Callithrix jacchus: one gene and its partners. The protein of the gene in region 2 interacts with the protein of the main gene of each other region in a pairwise test. Links are inferred from orthologs where the notes say so. Each region holds a gene or a part of one and is shown on either strand. Other genes may lie near its edges.

Region 1 (4,147 bases), on a different chromosome or scaffold from region 2:
TTCCTTTAATTAGACAACAGTTGTCTTTCACCCAGCCTGCAGTGCAGTAACCCAATCATCGGTCACTGCAGACTCCATCTCATGACATCAAGCAATCCTCCCACCTATGCCTCCCAAACACTGGGATTACAGGTGTGAGCTACTGCACCTGGCCCCCGACTTAAATTTTAAGCCACTGACTTAAAATGTTAAAGGAACACTTTGCCTGCAGATGAAAAGGTGGGGCAATGATGAAAACACTTTCCCAGAGATTTTAATTGGCCTGGAATGGGTTAAGAAAATAGGATTGGCTGAGCACTGTGGTTCAGGCCTGTAATCCCAGCACTTGGGAGGCCAAGGCGGGCAGATTACAGGGTCAGGGGTTCTAGAGCAGCCTAGCCAACATGACACAACCCCATCTCTATTAAAAAGACAGAAGTTAGCCTGGCATGGTAGCACACGCCTGTAATCCCAGCTACTGGGGAGGCTTAGGTCACAGTGAGCCAAGATCACTCCAGTCTGGGTGACAGAGCAAGATGTCCTCTCAACAAAAAGAACTAATGTCTACAGTATCAATACCTTTAGGCATGCATAAAAGCCGCAATTTGGGCCTGGTGCACTGACTCACACCCGTAATCCCAGCACTTTGGGAGGCAGAGCCGGGTGGCTCACTTGAGGTCAGGAGTTCAAGACCAGCCTGACCAACACTGTGAAACCCTGTTTCTACTAAAAATACAGAGTTAACCCCAACTACTTGGGAGGCTGAGGCAGGAAAATCGCTTGAACCTGGGAGGTGGAGATTGCAGTGCATTGAGATTGTGCCACTGCACTCCAGCATGGACAAGAGTGAAACTATGTCTCAAAAAAAAGAAAAGAAAAAAAAAATCTTAATTTTAAGGCATCAACAAAATGCATTACACACGAAAAGCGTTCTAAACCACCTTAAATTCTGGCCAAAGGAGCTGAGAAGAAAATTAAAAACCTTTAAATGATCACAATGTAATAAGAAATTCGCTCCTTTATTAAGTGCCAAAAGTTCCTAAATCCAACACCGCCCTCAAAAAGTAATGTCCTTCTAAAACTCCCCATTAAGTTCAATGACGCAAAATAGGCACCACAGCAACACCAATCCAGCCTGGCCAACATGGGAAAACCTAGTCTCTAATAAAAAATACAAAAATTAGCAGGGTGTGGTAGTGAACCCCTTGAAGCCCAGCTACTCAGAAGGCTGAGGCTGGAGAACTGCTTGACACTTGACTCAGGAGGCGGAGGTTGCCATGGGACAAGATCGCGCCACCTCACTTCGACCTGGGCAACAGAGCAAGTCTCTTGTCAAAAACAAAAAAACCAATACCAAATACTTCAGCCACCTCTTTTGTTTATTCTTCCAATAGGAAAATGAAGCCAGGCGCAGTGGCTCACGCCTGTAATCCTAGCACTTTAATAAGAGGCCAAGGCGGGTGTATCACCTGAGGTCAGGAGTTTGAGAGCAGCCTCGCCAACAAGACAACCAACCCCCTCACGCCCCCACCCCCAACTAAAAATACAAAAACTAGCTGGGCGGGTGCCTGCAATCTCAGCTACAAGGGAAGCTGAGGCAAAACTGCTTGAATCGGAGGCGAAGGTTGCAGTGAGGGAGATAGCTCACTGGACTCCAGCCTGGGCAACAGAGCAAGAGTCCATTATTTAAAAAAAAGAAAAAGAGACAGATCTCAAATTAAAACCCAATAAACTTACTTCTTTGCTTTGTATACATAAGCACATCTCTTGCCCAAATAGAATTCTGTTTCATCTCGGGCATAAACACCTTCGATTTTAAGAAGAGCTGTGTGCTCCCTTTGGTTCCGGAGACCCCGCTTATAGCCGGCAAAAATAGCCTTGGACCACAGCCTAAGAAACAAAAGATACACAACATGAAACGCAATCTTCAACGAACCAGTTAGACCTGTAATAACCCCCACCCAAAAGTTACCTAGAGCGAACATCTAATTTTTTTCTTACCAATTTTAAGCTCTCATTTACGTTCACGTGTAACACACAAAAACAAACAGCAACTATATTTAAAACGCGTACCTTCCAGACATAGCTCCTTCTGTAAGTCCTGTTCCCAGCAGGCCTTAAAACAAAAGATTCTGTTTAAAGCAAGCCACACAAATGTCCCGCCCCGTCCCCTCTCATTTAAGCCTCTAAGGCAAATTCCTTTTGAATCGGAATTTCACGTAAGAGTGCGGGGAAAATATTACGCCAGAACATCCGTATGAAACGCGGGGTCCGGCTAGACATTCGAACCTCAGAGAAGTTAGTATCTAAGCAAACTTAAGAATGAGACAAAACTAAGGGACAAGAGGCACTAAAATAACTCTTAGAAAAGCCTGGGAACACTCGGGAAAAGAAATGGAGACTTAAGCAGAGAAACACATCTAAGACCTTTACACTTGGCGGGGGAGAAAAGCTGAGGAAGAGACTGTTAGCAAAGGGAGGAAACAAAAACCCTATCCTAAAGGAAGCACGGCCCCATGGACAACTGCAGACGAACAAAAATATCCATTTCACTCCGCTCGGGTCCAAGAATTTAACTTAGATAACCGGGCAGCCGTTCTCCGGGTGTGAGGGGACCAAGCACAATCAGTCCAGCATCTCCTGCATCCTGTTGTCTCTCTTCTTGAAACCCATAGAAATCAATGGCTGGCAGTGATTCCGATACGCACCGGCAACTCGCTAGGGTAGACGAACAAACTCACTCCAGTCATTTACCTCCAAATTTCAGCAGCAGGCGCTTCTCTAGCCTCCACAAGTGCCAAGATGGCGGGAAGAGAAATACGAGGCCCCGCCGCGCGGCCTTGTGGGATTAAGCACCTCTCCAATGCGCCCTCAATTTAGGCATCTTCTAAAAACGCCAGAACAGCAGCCCTCGGAAATCGTCTTCGGACTGAAATAAGTCACATTCAAGAGCACTCTTAGAATTATTTTACTTAATCCTTTCATTTTGGTAGGCTGCAAGGTAAGCCTATTAGTTGGTAACAGGGGAAGGCAAAATAGTAGCCAGCTAAATCCGCCGAAGCTGTGCGTTGCCATAGAAACAACTTAGCTTGCTCCTTGCGTCCCCGGATGCTGTCGGTGGAAAGGTGAGGCTGCCTGAGGAGAGGACGGTCCCACTGCCTAAAGGCTGATTGACTGTAAGATTGATTTGCGAACAAATCGAGGGTGCTTTTCCTTCGATTCATACAGCAATAGACAGAACGGAGACTCTAACCTAGCATGGAAGAGAAAGGCTGGGAGCAGGAAGGCAGCAGGAGCTCTTCCCTTTTTCTTTTTCTATACTTCTTTTCTCCCCTCTACTTAGTTATCTCTTCAAGAAATGAGTCTGGGCACTGTGGCTCACGCCTGTAAACCCAGCTCTTTGGGAAGCCGAGGCGAGAGGATCGCTTGAGGCCAGGAGTTCGAGACCAGCCTGGGCAGCATAGTGAGACCATCTCCCCCGCCCTCCCCTATCTCTACAAAAGAAAAAAAAAGAATTAAAAAAAGAATGAAAGGACTTAAATTCTTACCTCCATTCTTCTTTTTGGATCCAAGGTATAAGGAGGACTGCCTAGAGGAGGCTTTATCGCCTTTTTAGACTTATTTTAGCTACCTCGTGTCCGCACCTGATAGGTCCTCAGTAGATACTTGTAGAGGTGTATTCGTGGACGCCAGAGATTTACATTTCCGAATTATTACGCATTTATTTGGGTTACCCTATGGATTCATTAATTTATTTAACAAATAGTTTAATGAATGGCTACCCTATACCAAGGTTTGTGTAGGATGACCACATGGCAGTAAACAAATCTCTTCCCTCATGGAGCTTACATCCTACGAGGGGGAGCAAGACAGTGAACAAGGAAAATAGGTGGCACATTAGAAGAAGGTAGCTTCTGTGGAGAAAATTAAGCAGAGAGGCCAGTGTAAAAGGCTTTCCGCCCCTTACTTTGAGATGGGAAGTATTTAAGGGTTCTGAACAGAAGAGTGACTCGATCTGACTTCCATATTGAGAAAGTCACTGCGTTGGGACTGAAGGGAGGCAAGGGCACCAGCAGGAAGAGAATTATAGGTTACTGTAGTGAATGTGATGAGAGATGATGGTGTGGAAACACACGTGATGAGTACTGGAATTCTGATTATATTTAAA
Region 2 (3,966 bases):
CTCTCCCTAACCACCCCATCTCCTGAAGGAACTGTTGCCCCATCATAGCCAGCATTTGATAGCCCAAGGGCAAGTTTATGTATTTGAGAACCATGTTTTTCTTCTATAACTAAAAACCTGAAAATCCTTCAGTATTACATAGCCCAGTGTCTGTAGAGCACAATCGTTTTGAATTTCAGTCTGCTTCTGCTGTGTGATCTTGGGAAAGTCATTAACCCTTTTGGGCCACTATCACTATTTGAAATGAAGAGGCTGAACCAAAATGCCCTTTCCAGGGGAAAGCAAGTGGTGAAATTAGGCCTATTTAGGGAATAGAGAATAGCCTGTGGGACAGGTTTGTGCCTGTTTTTTGGTAGAGTTGAGTAAGAATTGTCAGAAGCTGATAGACAGAGGATAGATATATAGATAGGTGATTGATAGGTAAATGACAGCTAGATGATAGGTGATTGATAGATTAGATGATAGATGACAGATGATTGATAGATTAGATGCTAGATAGATAGATAGATAGATGATAGATAAAAGGGAACCAAATACTGTCTCTGTGCCCTGGGCATTTTTGCCAGGCAGGGGAAATTGCATCATTGGGGTCAGAGTTGTATGGCCCACAGAGGTCAGCTCAGAGGTTGGGAGGAGGTTGATGACCTTGTGTGGGAACCAACCTCAGGGGAATGAATGATGTTGGGGCCTCTTAGGGGCCTCCACTCTTGGAGTTTGGACTCCCCTTTCTCTGTGGGTCTAAGCTGGCTTCCTTCCACTGTGGAATTGTGCTAACACTGACCCTTTAGTGATTTTGCCTTTGTTGTTTTTTGTTTTCCGCTATCCTCATTAGCAGAGGTTTTGCTCTTATACACTTCATTGTCCCAGTGACTTCTTATATGCCAGTCACTGGCGGGTAAATGCCAGAGGGACACTGAGGACTCATCAGGAGGGCTCAGCCTTCTCTCAGAGAGGAAGCCAAGGTGGCCAGATTACGATCTGTTTTTTCTGGTAAATGTCCTGGGTAGGAAATGTTATTTGTGAGTTTGAAATATCCACCAAGGGCAGAGGGTGCCCTGAAGACAAACAGGAATCAAGTGGTCATTTTCTTGGCCCTGAAGTGATGCTCTGCCTCTGTGATGTCACAGTTGGCTCCTCACAACCTAGTTCAGCCTAGCACAGTACATGACAGTGGTCACTGGGTTTCTATCTGGGCAGGATAGCACCTGTGCATCAGGGAAAATAGACCAAGCTCTCACAAGGGCAGTATCATCCTTTGGAATTTGTTCATTTTAGTTACATACTCGTCAGGAGCTTTTAAGGGAATATGACCATTTTCCCAGTGAGCAGTGGCATAAACATTGAGGACTCTCTTAAATCAAAAGATGAATGAATGGATGGAATCTTTGCTGGGATAATATGCAAACCAGGTAATATGTGCCTGACCTGGATCTCCCAACAGGTAAGAAATGGGAAAATGTTAAGGGGGAGATGTTGGGGAAGAAGAGTAAACTTTGAAAAGCCATTCTCTTCAGCACAGAAGCACTGAAAGAAGTTGGAGATCTTCATGGTAAAAAGTGGGAAGCCCTATATTAGCAGGGAATGATGATTGACAGGGACCTAATGTGTGCTGGGTGGAGTCTGAGAATCCTGTGGGTAGAGAGGAAAGTGAGACATTAGAAGTCCTCCTGTATGTTTTGGAGACAGAGTCCCTTAGCTCACCCGGTCAGTAAGTTTCTCTTTCTTTCTCTCTCTCTCCCCTTTCCTTTTTTTTATTTTTTTGAGACAGAGTCATGCTCTGTTACCCAGGCTGGAGTGCAGTGGTGCGATCTTGGCTCACTGCAAGTTCTCCCTCCTGGGTTCAAGCGATTTTCCTGCCTCAACCTCGCAAGTAGCTGGCACTACAGGCCTGTGCCACCACACCAGGCTAATTTTTTGTATTTTTAGTAGAGATGGGCTTTCACCGTGTTAGCCAGGATGGTCTTGATCTCCCAACTTTGTGATCTGCCCACCTTGGCCTCCCAAAGTGCTGGGATACAGCTGCGAGCCACTGCTCTGGCCCAGTGTTTCTTGAATAAGTGAATTGGACTCTGTGGACGCCTTTCTGGAGAAAGCTTGATGGAGGGAAGTGGAAAGGACCTTGGAAAATTACCCAAATTCAATGAAGCTTTTTCCTAAATACCGATGGCTAAAGAACTTCAACTTGTCAGTTTCGTATAAAACACTGCATTGGACTCAATCTTCCTCTGAATTTAATGCTAGCGTTCCTTCAAAAGTCTTGACTTACTTTCTTTCTTTCTTCTTTTCTTTCTTTTTGCCTGCACTGTCTGTGCATTACAGTGCTGTAAGGGAAAGTTTTCTTGTGAAGTGATGTAGATAAGATTTAGAGGATCTGAACACCTCTCTGCTTTGGAACTCATGGGAGCTAAAGTGTAAATAGATTCACACATCTGACATTCAAAGTCAAAAATTCATGTGGTCTTGTCCTTTTCTGGTGTGTGAGTTGGTTTCAGAAGGGGCTTGGTGTTTGAAAGGTGCTGTAAGGAGTGGAAGAATCAATGCCATCTTCAGATGTTTGTTTTGAGTCACAGGCAAACCCTGCTTGAAGTCTGCCGGCAAGGCCTTTGAGTGACACAGAGCCTGACTTGTTCACTTCATGTTTGTCCAGCTTCCACGGCATGTGGAAGGAGTTTGTCTGCTTGGGAATATGCTGAATTAAGCAACATAACGAACCAATGAGAGGGGCCTAAAGCTTCTTTCAAGCTGGGCAAACCTTTAGTTGTTAGAAGCCCATACTTCCTATGTGGTGGTGTAGGAAGGACACTGACTTACCTGTAGGTTTCTTGCTAGAAAGTAGAATTGCGATCTGATCAATCTTTCAACTATTTAATTTATAGAAAGTATGGAAGATAGGGGGGCATATCAAATAACACTATGGGAATGTAATCCACTGGATGTGGAAATTCTAAAATACACCACATTTCTTTAGTAAATACATGGAAAGGAAAAAGATGGGGGGAAGTGGTGTTAATGAAAGAAACTTCTAAGGGACTGTGACAGATGCATTTGATGCTCTGCCCACATTCACTCCACTTCGACCTCTACAGCTTGCTGGAGGCTGCGCGCTGGGGACACCTGTGACCCTTTGCCCAAGGGCATTTATTCTGTCCCCAAGATTACACATGGTAAGCAGAGCAGAGTGTCAGAGAATTAATGGCTTAGAGAGTTAATGTCTCAAAGCAGTCCTCAGACAAAGATGGGTGGAGAGCTGGTGTACAAATACCCCAGCTTCCTTTCCTCTACCTCCCAGGGTTGGGGAAACTCTCAGGGGTGTCCTACACTGTTTTCTGGAGTTGCCTAGAAAGACTGAGCTTCCTTTGCCCCCAGCAGCAACACGCCCTTGTTGGTGCTCCTCCCCCACTGGCTCACTTTCCTACTCCCCTACCAGTTTCTATAGGGTCACCTCCCAAATAAACCATTTGCACTGAAATCATTGCCCCAGGGTCTGTTTCTGGGGAAACCAAAGTAGGACAGGGACAAATCAATCCAGTGCAACATGTGAACCTTATTCAAACGAACCATCTGTAAAAAGGCATTTATGAGTCTAATGTGGAAACATGATGGTAGATGGGATAATAGACTATTTTAAAGAATTATTCTTTAATTTCTTTCTTTCTTTTTTTTTTTTTGAGACAGAGTTCTCAGGGAGAGAGGGTTGGAGTGCAATGACATGATCTCAGCTTACTGCAACCTCCACCTCCTAGGTTCAAGTGATTCTCTTGCCTCAACCTCCTGAGTAGCTGAGATAAAAGGCATTTGCCACCACATCCAGCTTATTTTGTATTTTTAGTAGAGACGGGGTTTCTCCCTGTTGGTCAGGCTGGTCTCGAACTCCCAACCGTGGGTGATCTGCCTGCCTTGGCCTCCCAAAGTGCTGGGATTACAGATATTCTTTAATTTCTTTAGGTGTGATGTTGTTTCTTGTTT
Region 3 (3,995 bases), on a different chromosome or scaffold from region 2:
TCTCCATGTTTTTCTAGGTCTTTATCTGGACAATTCTAGGACATTGAAGGGGAATTTTGGTGTTTCTTCCTCTATTAATTTCCTGAAGTCATTTCACTCAAAAACACTAGATTGGCTGCTCAAGATAAAAAAAGTTATCTACTTGCTTCCAGTTTACTTGCAACACATTTTATAAAGGGTCTACTCTGCTGGCTGGCTAAGTTAAATTAAAACTTATAAAGGGTACAAGGTCTAAAGTTCGCACGTTCTTGTGAGGTCTGCTTATTCTCAGCTCTACCAGTCTCAGTCCCGTATATTTCCTTCAGAATCTCGTGAATGAGGAAAAAGTTCAGATGAAGGTCAGATACCTAGAAGAGTTTTCGAGGCTGGGATGAAAAAAGTGGGGAAAAGGTACCCAGATGTGGGTGGCCCCGGAGGGTTTCTCCACTCCAGCCTCAGCAGGACAGCATAGCGCGGCCTGCCTGGAAGGTTCCCAGAGGCACTGGAGAGCCTAGTGTGTGCCCGGCAGGAAAACGGCGGGATGGTGTGCCCCCTGAATCTGGCAGGGTTGTAGGTGCTTTACACGTAGAAAGATAAATTCTCCACTCCAAAGAACTCGCAGTTCATTTTCTGGGTTGCATCAGGTGGGGGCAAACGAGGTCCCTGCAGGAGTGTGAGGACGTTGAAGGAATACACTGGGGGAAAAAATGCTTCCCTGCCGTTCTCCACACCAGGCAGGCCCCAGAGGCTAAGACCGACACGCCCTCCCCGAAGGGCAGACCCGCCTCGAGAGGGCGGACCTGGGAAGGGCCTGCCGCCTGGCCCTCACCCGACCCCCGCTAACGCGGACCAGCGGTGCGCCCGCTCTTCACGTGTCCCTCCCGGTCCCGGGTCCGCCTAACGATTTGCTTCCGCCCGACTCCTCCGACTTCCGGTAAAGAGTCCCAATCCGGCATCCCCGTGCCCACCCGGCGCCTCGGCGCACTCAGCCTCCGATGCGCTCAGCGGCCGCACCTCCTCAGAGTTCCGCGGCAGCCACCGAGCCTCGCCGTTTCGCCGCAGCTAGGTGGCCCGGGGGGCGCTCGCTCCCGCGGCCGGCACGGCGAAGCGGGCGGGGCGGCGGTGGCGAGGTACCGGGCCCGTATCCCTCCGCCGCCCCTCCCCCGCCCGGCCCTGGCCCCCCTCCCTCCCCGCAGCGCTCGCCTCTCTCCGCCTCAGACTGTTTTGGTAGCAACGGCAACGGCGGCGCATCCCGGTCCGGCTTCCGGCGGTTCCTCGGTCTCGGCGGGCCTCCCCGCCCCTTCTTCGTCCTCCTTTTCCCCCTCGTCAGCCCGGGCGCCCCCCCGGCCGCGCCAACCCGCGCCTCCCCGCTCGGCACTCTCGCGTCCCCGCTGCGCTCCGGCGACTCCTCGGCGCGCCCGGCTCCCGACTGTCCCCGCCCGGCGTGCGAGCCGGTGTATGGGCCCCTCACCATGTCGCTGAAGCCCCAGCAGCAGCAGCAACAGCAGCAGCAGCAGCAGCAGCAGCAGCCGCAGCCGCCTGCGGCCGCCAATGTCCGCAAGCCCGGCGGCAGCGGCCTTCTCGCGTCGCCCGCCGTCGTGCCTTCGCCGTCCTCGTCCTCTGTCTCCTCGTCCTCGGCCACGGCTCCCTCTTCCTCGGCGGCCGTGGCGACCGCTGGCAGCGGGAGGCCCGGCCTGGGCAGGTGGGTGTCGGCACCCCAGCCCCCTCTGCTCTGGGCCCGGTGTCCCTTCCCCCGCGGCTCGCGCGGCGGTCCCCGCCCCATGACCGGCAGGGCTGCCCGAGGTGGGCTGGGGGCTGGCGGCGTGTGGGGGACTCGCCCGGGCCAGAGTCCCGAGGCTCGGCTGGGGGGCGCCGCGGGGGTCTTCTGGGATTGTCAGGCCTGTCCAGCCTCCCGCAGCATCCCCGCCCCCTCCCCCAGCGGTCAAGATGGAGGGAGCCAGCGGCCTCCCCTCCCCACGCGTGTTGGGAGGAGTTCTCGGGTCGCGGCTGTGGTCACCCCTGGCTCCCCCTTTCGCACGCCCCCTCCTCCCGCAGCAGGGGTATGCTTGGGCAGCGTCCCACCCCCAGTTTAGGTGTGAACGTTGGAGGGGTCTGGAGGCTTTGGTGTCGTTTTCCGGAACATGTCGTTCCCCCATCGTGGGGGACATCTCAGAAGGGGAGAAGTTAGGGCCGCGTCCCCCGTGCGCGTTAAAGGGGTAGGCACTGGGCTCCTCCGGAATCATCAGGGTCTATCGGGGCTCCTCTCCCCGCCCCCTCCCAGTCCTGGGAAAGATCGGAAGACTGGGTGGAGACAGGTGGGCCTTGGCCCCCGCACCCCTCCCCGTTTGATTCCGAGGCTGCGGCGGGGGCTCCCGAACTCCCGTGGAATCTTGGGGCTCCGTGCAGCCTCCTGCAGCGTTCCGCCTTACCCCTCCTAAGGAAGGGAAGGGGTGGGGAGTGCCCGGCCTCCATTCTTCCCCCGCCTGGCCTGTCCGGCGCGCGGGTGGTGGCCGATCCGCATTGCTGTTCCGAGGCTGCGGTGGAGAAGGCGCCTGTGAACAGTGGTGGGCGAGGGCCGGACCCAGGCTGGATCCGGGAGATCCGGGGCGGCGGTGCTGGTGGCAGGGAGCGGGTGCCCTGCGCACTTTTCCCAATCCCCGCCCCAATTTCGGAAATGCTAGGAGAGAGAGATTGCAGAAGGGGACGTGGTGTGGTTTCTGAACGCAGAAATGTTTATTGGTGTCTTTTTCCCACCTAAGCCGGGGTTGTGATAGAGACGGGGCGAGGGATCAGTGTTGTCCTGGCTAACTGGTTTTGACTCTGGAGAGTGTGTTCGTGCAGGAGGTCCTATTGAGGGTGGCGGGGGGTGGTGATTGTCAGTTCGTATTTCACGAACTAAGAAAATGCTTAGTGTTCAAACGGAGAAGCAAATGTCAATAGACTCCATTCCATTGTGGCCGGTGTCCTTAACTTCGGGAGTGCCGCCAGAGCTTACCAAGGGCACGCAAGTCCATTTCCCCTGTGCCCCAAGTCTATCCGTGTTGCAGGCGCTACTGTGCCTCCCTTAGGCCTAGGCCGCCGGCTTGGCAGGGCCAATGACTGGCGTCCTCCTTAGACATCTTGGGTTTTGGAAGGTGGGATAAGAGGATTTTTCACGCACCTGAGTTTTCTTTTTGAACACACATTTTCAGCAATCCATTTCTAAATAATTTTTATTTACAGCTTAAGTTCCCCATCAAGAGGTATCAGCTGGTTTTTAAGGAATTCTCTTGCCTTCAATGGGGCCAGGGGCTGAAATAGTCTTCGGTTATTTGACTTACAAGCCTCGTCCCGTCCCCGCCCCGCCCCCCCCCCCAACTTCTCTGAGTCTGAAGCATCCCAGCCACTACTTAGCCAAACTAGTTCAGGTGAAGTGATCATTTCCCCTCATAGAGTAACTTCACTTTCCCTTTTTTGTTGGCATCTAGTGAGGAATGAAAAAATTTTAAGTACAATTTTTATAGAAAATGATGCATTGTTTTTATTTTCTTAGGTATTAGAAGGAGATTTGGCAGATATTTTCAACTTGTTCAAATACATACAAATTAAAACTAAGGATTTTAAATTGCATTGACTCTTAGGCTTAAAAATTAGATTATAGCAGAATTTGCTTCAGAATAGCTTGAGTGATGAGAGATACTTGGAATGTTTTAGTTCCACAAGGCCTTTTTCTGTTCCTTGAGGCTTTACAACAATTTAAGATTAATTTAGATTTTTTTCCTTGCTTTACATTCTTTTACTCGAGACCTAAATGGTAGCCTTTATTCTTTTTGATGAATAGGTGAAATTTTATTTACTGTGTTGGATTTGTATAATGTGAAATTTATTCTTGTGCAGATTGTTAATGTACTTGTAGAATTACTTTGAATTTTGAATCACTTTACTGCTTTCCTTGTAAATAAGTTTCAACTTCTGGAATCGCCTCACTTTGGTTTGTGTATCAGCAATGAAAATAAGTTTCTGAGAGCAAGGGTGAA

The links.
Region 1: the proteins of SH3GL3 (region 2) and RPL35A interact in a two-hybrid assay, tested with the Homo sapiens proteins (2 studies listed by BioGRID and IntAct). The link is inferred for Callithrix jacchus from reciprocal best matches to the Homo sapiens genes SH3GL3 and RPL35A.
Region 3: the proteins of SH3GL3 (region 2) and ATXN2 interact in binary tests that used the Homo sapiens proteins (3 or more experiments, as listed by UniProt). The link is inferred for Callithrix jacchus from reciprocal best matches to the Homo sapiens genes SH3GL3 and ATXN2.

The regions. Positions count from the first base shown.
Region 1 is NC_133518.1:81,470,981-81,475,127, reverse strand, and holds the start of RPL35A (large ribosomal subunit protein eL33), read right to left. Parts: upstream 2,801-4,147; 5' UTR 2,688-2,800; intron 2,096-2,687; 5' UTR 2,064-2,095; coding exon 2,053-2,063; intron 1,870-2,052; coding exon 1,717-1,869; intron 1-1,716. Other genes in the region: DRC9 (dynein regulatory complex protein 9), read left to right, coding at 3,088-3,104.
Region 2 is NC_133507.1:24,739,924-24,743,889, forward strand, and holds the start of SH3GL3 (endophilin-A3), read left to right. Parts: upstream 1-1,166; 5' UTR 1,167-1,372; coding exon 1,373-1,441; intron 1,442-3,966. UniProt on the Homo sapiens protein: Implicated in endocytosis. May recruit other proteins to membranes with high curvature.
Region 3 is NC_133510.1:114,460,533-114,464,527, reverse strand, and holds the start of ATXN2 (ataxin-2), read left to right. Parts: upstream 1-1,195; 5' UTR 1,196-1,451; coding exon 1,452-1,681; intron 1,682-3,995. UniProt on the Homo sapiens protein: Involved in EGFR trafficking, acting as negative regulator of endocytic EGFR internalization at the plasma membrane.